Linked DNA regions of Drosophila melanogaster. The protein of the gene in region 1 purifies or fractionates together with the protein of each later gene. This does not show direct contact. Each region holds a gene or a part of one and is shown in the gene's direction. Other genes may lie near its edges. The genes, in order: Atpalpha and Tctp.

Region 1 (3,927 bases):
CGTTTGGCTCCAAATTGGCGGCCTGGATGGGGGATTCCAGGAGCCTGGCAGAGCAAACATGAACGAAAAAACATGAAACGTGCCCAGCCTGCTAAGGACATTCATTACGCAAGCTATGAAGCTGCCTTCTCCGAACTGAATCCAACCATCGCAGCCATACCCACACACCCCCCCCCCTCCACTTCCTACCCATGGGCTTAGTGGGCTGGCCACGCCTCCTATTGAATTATTCCAGTTTTATTTCTCGCCATTTGGCTTGGCACACACCGAGGCATCCGACTCGGCCGTGAAGCTGACTCCTTGCCGCCGGTGGCCCGGTTGTTGAACCACAAACACCCAGACACACAGAAACACTAAGCACCAGCACGCAGCAGAGGCAAAGACACCTGTTGATTGGGCCTTTCAGGTTATTTGAGCCAAAGCCAATGCCAAAGCAAAAGCAAAAGCGAAAGCCAAACCCGAAGACAGTGGCAGTGGCAACAAGGCGATTTCCCCTCAGCTTATGTGGGCTCAATTTTGTAGTCGAGCCGGCTTCCTTCTAATGGCCATGGGATATTGAATCGATTGACGGGGCCGCAGGATGAGAGGGCGGGCAAAAGGATGGGCAAAGTGGAAAGTGGGTTGCTCTGCAGCTGAGCGAAAAGTCGTTTCGCCTAAGCAACCGCAGCCCCTTTGGAGCTGCTTCCTTGTTTGTGCTCGTGTCGACAACAATTGATTTCAAAATATTAATTAACCGGATAAACCAATTGAAGCTTCCGGAGAAGGTAAGGGCAAATGAAACCGTGCAAACTGTGCTCTTTGTAAGAGTGTGCAAATTTGGCATTTCCTTGTAATTGGTCACCGAATTGATCAATTGAATGAATCTGTAGAAATTTAGATGCCATTTTGCTGGGAAGCTAACTTAGATAGAACATGCTAGCCTTCAAGAACAAAATGACTTGAGACATCTAATTATCCTGATTATATTTGGGGTTTAGAGTTGCGATAAATTCAGCTTCGACCAAGTGGAGGTCAGCATTTCGGATGATAAAATGAGATCTTGTGCGGACGGAGATAAGTTTTCCAAATGCCTGGTCGTTTGGAGGATTGTTATGTTTATAGCTCCATTACACTGACAAATTGGAAGATCTTCGTCTTGAGTTCCACATCGTGACTCGTACTTATCAATAGTGTTCTCAATTAAATTCATAATTTAATTATAATCAATTACGCGGTCTGTTGGTTTCGGGCGAACCTTCAGTTGGTGCTTCCAATGATAAGTTGCTGGATAATGATGACGAGGGGTATCAGGTGTATCTTGAAATTTAAGTATAATTTAATTAGTTTAAGTAAGCTGAACTTATAATCTCCAAGATGCGTTTTTCCCCACAGGATCGTCGAATTGCTGAGCCTTCGAGAATCTCTGGCCCGTTTGAAGCCATTCATCGCAACAATGATCAACGATCAATACTGAACATAGGAAATAAATTTGAGAAGATTCAAGTCCAGTTGAACATTTCTTGGAGAGTAGCTAATTTATACGTTTAACGAACGCCATCTACACTTCGTTCTATCTGCCACTTAAAATTATTTTGCTTATACAGCGCCACCTATGTTTGGAATGCAAGAAGACGCGCGTATTGTATTTGGTATTTTATTATCTCTTGAAATTGAATACACATAACTATAACGTTGGCAACTCTCCATATCTGTAAATATTCAAGATGGCAACTATCGTAGTGTGTATATTTTAATCTGGCAGCTCCAGTAATTTTCACGCTTGCAGTTGATATAAAAAGTACATAAAAGTATGTTATTTCCAAATTGAGGTGAAAAATTAAACATATTTTTAACTTGGTATTTTAAATTAGCAATTATTAATGAGAGTATTGAAATCCAAACATATCCAGATATTAATATTTGAAGGTAGCATAGTAACAACTTTCGGTAAATAAATATCCAGGTATATTTAAAATACTTAACTTTTCATTTTAAATAAACCAGACTGTTCGGACTATTGACAAATTATAATAGTAATTTTATTCATAATGCAATATTTACAATTACATTTTCTTAACCGATTGCCATCCCGATTTCTACACCGGCTTATTCGATACAATAGGCCGATAACTCTCCATTTGGTAGTCACGACTTCTAAAATATCGATACGTTGGAATTGTGTAAATTTTCCACATCCCTGGGAATAATCGAGTTAAATTAAAATAACATGGCGTTAAGGTCGGATTACGAGGTGAGCAAAAATAAAGCCTGGATTACGATGAAAACTAAGTTAGTTAAGTGAGAAAATGGTTAAGTTTAAACTGTTGTTAGACCATGACGAGGGAACCAAAAAGAACCAGGGCCAAAACAAATTGGCCAAGTGATACGCTGAGCGGGCGTTGTTTTTAGTGGGAAAAATCGAAGCCCGAGTGCGCTGTGTGGGTGTGTGCGTGTATCTGTGTTGTGTACATTGCTTTTGGTGTTGTTCTTGCTGCTGCTGCTGCTACTACTATTTGTTTTGTTGCTGGTGAAAAAGCGAGAAGCAACGACAACAACAACAAAGCCGAGGCGACGCCCAACGAAGTTTACTAATTTGTTTGCGGGCTTTCGGTAACTGCAAACGGAATCGAATGTGAAACGGGGCGCAGTTACTAATCCTATTGGATCTGGATGGGCCTATATCCGCTTACCTGCTGATCTGTAAAAATAGCCTGGGCTTAGAGCCTGGCTTTTGACTTTTTTCTCGAATTTGTATTCGCTCTCCCTTTCTCTTGCTCTCTCTCTCTCTCTCTGCCTCTCTGTCTCTCTCTCTCTCGCTTTCCAGGTGCGCTTAGCTGGCATGCGCAATTTGCATTTCCAGGCCGACCAGTTTCCCAAATTTTCCACTTTCCCGGCGCGAAAGCTTTTCGCTTTTCCGTGCTTGGAAATCTTCCAGTTTTCGGCTTACATAACCGGTACTGCTGCCGCCCCTCCCGAACCACGCCCCATTCCGCCGCATCTCGCAGATTTCATTATTGGAATCTCGAGCTCTAGAACGAAACTACCCTGCATAACACGTTTATTTTTCCATTTTCCGTGCTTTCCCTCCTTCCGGAATTGGTGTCATTGGGCCGAGTAGTGCGCTGCTAATTACACACACTGGCACATTAGCGTAAATCGACGTACTTCTTACCGTACTTTTTTCTCAGTACGTAGCCCTTACTTTCCCTTCCCTACCCCCTCACCATTCGATTAGTTACTAAATGCCCCACCGATGACGCCACTTAATTACCCCGCAGAAGGTAATGAGTTCTTCGCCAGGGTTGTTGTTTCCACCCGGGCTTTCGGTTCTGTTCCTAGGGCTAGACCACCAATTCTAAGTCCGTATTGCCAGCTCTATTGATTTTGGGGCTTGTCTAAGGGCAGGTCACACACACGCACGCACCCACACACATACTGGTTCGACGGCCCGAAAGTATGCAAAACTATAGAGCAAGCGGTCTGAATCCACTCGCAACAAACAGTGGGTCCAGATATTATTTGTAACGGGAAAACTTGAAAAGAACGCTTAAGACCTCACTTAGACTTGAAAGTGTCTTGTAGAATATATTTAGATATTATTATATAATTATTATAATATATATTATATTGTGCATATTTGTATTGTTATAAAATTAAGTATGTAATTCCAAAATTACGTCTTTATTAGTATTGTAGTGGTATGCATATTTTAAGAATCAAAATAAGTTACGCAAATTATTTTAAGTTTAAAAACATTTGTGGTTGGGTTTATTGGGTTGGGTTTCATACAATTAATTTTATAAAATATGACGCATTTCCCAACGGATTTTCAAGGGCAAATTCTGATGATAATATTGTTGGTGTAGAATACAACGTTGCATAATTATTATAATTCAATCTGCCGGACTACGACATCTTATATCTTAACCCAGTGTGCTCAGTGGAAAT
Region 2 (3,927 bases), 9.7 Mb from region 1:
GATGAAACGCGAGCCACCCTACACCACCTGGAAAATTCGCGAAGAGGGCGAGGAATGTCACACCATCGACTACGTCTTTTACACACCCGATCGCCTCAAGGTGGGATTTCTGAAATAGTTGCAAGCGGTTACAATTTATTTAACAATATTTATGTCCAATTTCAGATCAAAAACTGTCTAGACTTTCCGGCCGGAGAGCAAATTGGCAAGAATCGCACACCCAGCTTCCAATATCCATCGGATCACTTTTCCCTGGTGTGTGACTTTGAGCTACTGCCTCCGACGGAAAACGGAAAGGAAAGCGGCAGCGGAAGTGGGAGCGATGGTGAAAATGAAACGGAAGTGGAGGGCAGCAAGCATGGATCCATTCAATAGAAAGCTTCAGATTCATAATTTGCCGAAAAAGAAGTTTCAATAACATTACATCGATTGTGATATTAGTTGTTAGATACATATTAGCCTCATACACAACCGTTGCACTACAGTTTGCAGCTTTTACAAATGATAATCCAAAATTCACAATAAATAAATTACAACGTATGGAAGAAAGTTAACTGAACTGCATTTTCTATCCATATAACAATGACCTCTTAAAAATCAAAATTAAGGATATACATATTTTATATAGATTCTGTACATGAACTGAATCCCCCATCTAATAAAAAGATTCTTCAGTTCCGAAGTAAAAGGATCTTTAGAAGACTTTTCTATAGTTAGGGAAGCCAAAGAGCTACTCTTAAATAAATACATTTTCGGAGCCCTTTTGCATTTGGTTTTAATTTTTCATGTAAATTTAAGCCTATAAAAAGTATTCCCTACTTTTGGGCGCATGTAAGTAATATTCTGCTATCGGAAATCGCTTGTTCGGGGCGTATACTTGATTTCGCTGTCAATGGACCGCAAGATGTCTATTTAACCGGCCTCCACACTGAATTCACTCTACAAATCACCGAAATCGTTAAAAACACGCACACCGTGCAAATTGCAGCGCACAACAAACGTATGCAGCACGCCCAAAGCAACAAAATGGATTGCGTAACACAACAAACACCTTTATAAATATACACACTACATGTATTTAGTATATAACAATTTTCACACAGTGTTCGCACTAAAATGTAATAGGTTTAGCTGGGGTCTTGGACTTAGAGCAGGGCCAAGATAGCGGATAGCACGAAAGAGGTGGCGACCATTGCGTAACCGGTGGAGTAAACCTCCTTGATCTTCAGGAACCGTCCGGTGTCCCAGAGGAGATGCCTAATACCATTGGCGGTGTGATAGCCAGCCGGATAGGCGATGATAAACTTGAGGGCGGTCAGAGTGGCGCCACTCAGCTGGAGGCCCTCCACCATGGTCACATAGTGGCTAATGTCGTGGGACGAGATCAGAGCGCCCAATCCCAGACCCCAAACACCCACACCCAGGGCCAATCCTGTGCCGCGGTGACAGATCGAGAGCATGGAGGTCAGCTGCGGTTGGTAGATGGTCAGATGGGGCGACAGCTCCCTGCCCAAGCGCTCGTTCTTCTCGAAGAACGACTCGTCCTTCTGGGTTTCGGCCACGGAAACCACCTTCATCGATACCGGGCGGCTGGCAGCGGCCATCTGGAGGCCCTGGCGCAGCGCCGGAGAGCGGATCAAAGAACTGGAGAGTGCATACCTGCAAAAAGCAGTCACAAATCAGGGTTTTTGCAGTGCCATCACAGAAATTACGTACATTTCCCTGTTTTTCACTCGAACTTGTATTGATGGGACCGTACACTGACTGCGCGATATTACCGCAAACAGGGATGCCACTACGTTGGTAAAAAACAAATAAGTCTCGAAAGTATTGATTTTATATCAACTGTAAAACATTGTTATTACTTTATATGATTAATTCTGTTCCCACTTTTATATTATTCCAATTGAGAATATTACACATATTTATCTTTTTTACTGAAACAGTCTCAAATTATTAAAAGTTAGAATGGCCATAAATATACGTAAGAAACATCAATATTATAGCTATAATAATTTTGTTCGCCTTGTTAATATTCCCTGCTCTTAACTAACAATAAATCGAAGAAAACATTGAAATTATCGATACGTGTATAGTAGGCGCTGCCACTCCCGGATCAATCGTTACCACTCCCAAGCGAGTTGGCAGTTCTTTCGCCATTTTTTCTCGCTCATTCTTTTTGCTGTTCGAGTGAGCGCGTGGCAGGTCGTTTCGCAGTGTTCCCGGTCCGGTGCAGTTGTAGTTGCATTTTCGCCAGCGATTTAGACGCCATCTTCCGACTCCCGACAAGCCAATCACCATGAAGATCTACAAGGATATCATCACCGGCGACGAGATGTTTGCCGACACCTACAAGATGAAGCTGGTGGATGATGTGATCTACGAGGTGTACGGAAAGCTGATCACCCGCCAGGGTGACGATATCAAGCTGGAGGGCGCCAACGCATCCGCCGAGGAGGCCGACGAGGGCACTGATATCACCTCGGAGTCTGGCGTGGATGTTGTGCTTAACCACCGACTGACGGAGTGCTTCGCCTTCGGCGACAAGAAGTCGTACACCCTCTACCTGAAGGACTACATGAAGAAGGTGCTGGCCAAGCTGGAGGAGAAGTCGCCCGACCAGGTCGACATCTTCAAGACCAACATGAACAAGGCCATGAAGGACATCCTTGGCCGCTTCAAGGAGCTGCAGTTCTTCACCGGCGAATCTATGGACTGCGACGGCATGGTGGCCCTGGTGGAATACCGCGAAATCAACGGCGACAGCGTGCCCGTGCTCATGTTCTTCAAGCACGGTCTGGAGGAGGAGAAATGCTAGATGGATCCCAATCCCCCAAACAAAACGGAACCTATACTCATGCATACCTTCTACACACATATACATATTTATCAGATGCTTAGTTACAATTTTGAAAGTCTTAAATTTATGTTTAAAAACGCTGACAAAAATGCCTGTCTTCGATCAGTGCGATTTTATATCTAATTTCTTTTTACCGGAGCGCTTATAAATTCGACATTGTATGTTTATTGTTTAATCACAGCGAGCTAAACAATTCAATTGCGCCACCTATTGTAATTAAAATAATAATTTGATAGCAACACCTACAAATTAGTATGCATTTTCGCTAAGATATCAAAAAGCAACGAAGACCGAAAATGGGAACACCAGTACTGAAATTAAACGGAACACCTATACAAAACAACTGTGAATCCGCATGTCTGTACTTCTTTCCAAATCTGCAGTTATGCGTAGGTAGACGCCGCCATATGGCGGCGTGAGTGGGAACGAGAGGGCGCCACCACCGTCTGAGTCACAGACTTCAGTTAGTTTGTGTTGTTGCTGCTTTTTGGGGCAATCGCGGAGTTATTGACCTTTGACAGTGATGTACACATGCCCCGCACCAATACCGTTACCGTCATTGGACATTTTGGAGGTCATGCGCAGTGGAACACGATTTTCTGCACGTTGCAGTTCGACTTGCCCCAGTTTCTCACGTTGGCTTCGCCCTAACCTCAACCATGCTAATGAAATGCGCCGCTCTCGCTGGAATTTGGGATTCTATAATCTAATTCCAGGTCAAGCAATACGTACGTCTTTATCTGCTTGAAGGGCGGGGCTCTGCGCCCCAGGTGCTATTTCCATTTCAGCGAAACGTGTCGACCTGTTGCCGTTCGTCGCGTGAGAGATGCGCACAGTGGACACTCGTTAGGGCGAACGGCGATATTGTCTGATGTTCGAAAACAATTTTTTTGAAAAGCACAATATATTTTCCTAAAATTGTAAAGAATATTTTATTCAAGTATTTGAATCTAGTTGAAATAGAACCATTTTCGGGATAAAAAGCTAAAAGTTTTTCTTCGCTATTCTCATACATTGTTGAATTTAATGGTTTTTAATATACATACATATGTGTCTATTTATGTACC

What was found.
Region 2: the proteins of Atpalpha (region 1) and Tctp purify together in Drosophila melanogaster (affinity purification with western blotting, with the first as the bait; one study listed by BioGRID). This does not show direct contact.

Annotation. Positions count from the first base shown.
Region 1 is NT_033777.3:20,946,600-20,950,526, forward strand, and holds the start of Atpalpha (Na pump alpha subunit), read left to right. Parts: upstream 1-2,180; 5' UTR 2,181-2,206; coding exon 2,207-2,230; intron 2,231-3,927. UniProt on the Drosophila melanogaster protein: This is the catalytic component of the active enzyme, which catalyzes the hydrolysis of ATP coupled with the exchange of sodium and potassium ions across the plasma membrane.
Region 2 is NT_033777.3:11,208,082-11,212,008, forward strand, and holds Tctp (translationally controlled tumor protein), read left to right. Parts: upstream 1-2,165; 5' UTR 2,166-2,299; coding exon 2,300-2,818; 3' UTR 2,819-3,817; downstream 3,818-3,927. Other genes in the region: cu (curled), read left to right, coding at 1-100, 166-375; SdhC (succinate dehydrogenase, subunit C), read right to left, coding at 1,146-1,659, 1,717-1,718. UniProt on the Drosophila melanogaster protein: Involved in calcium binding and microtubule stabilization.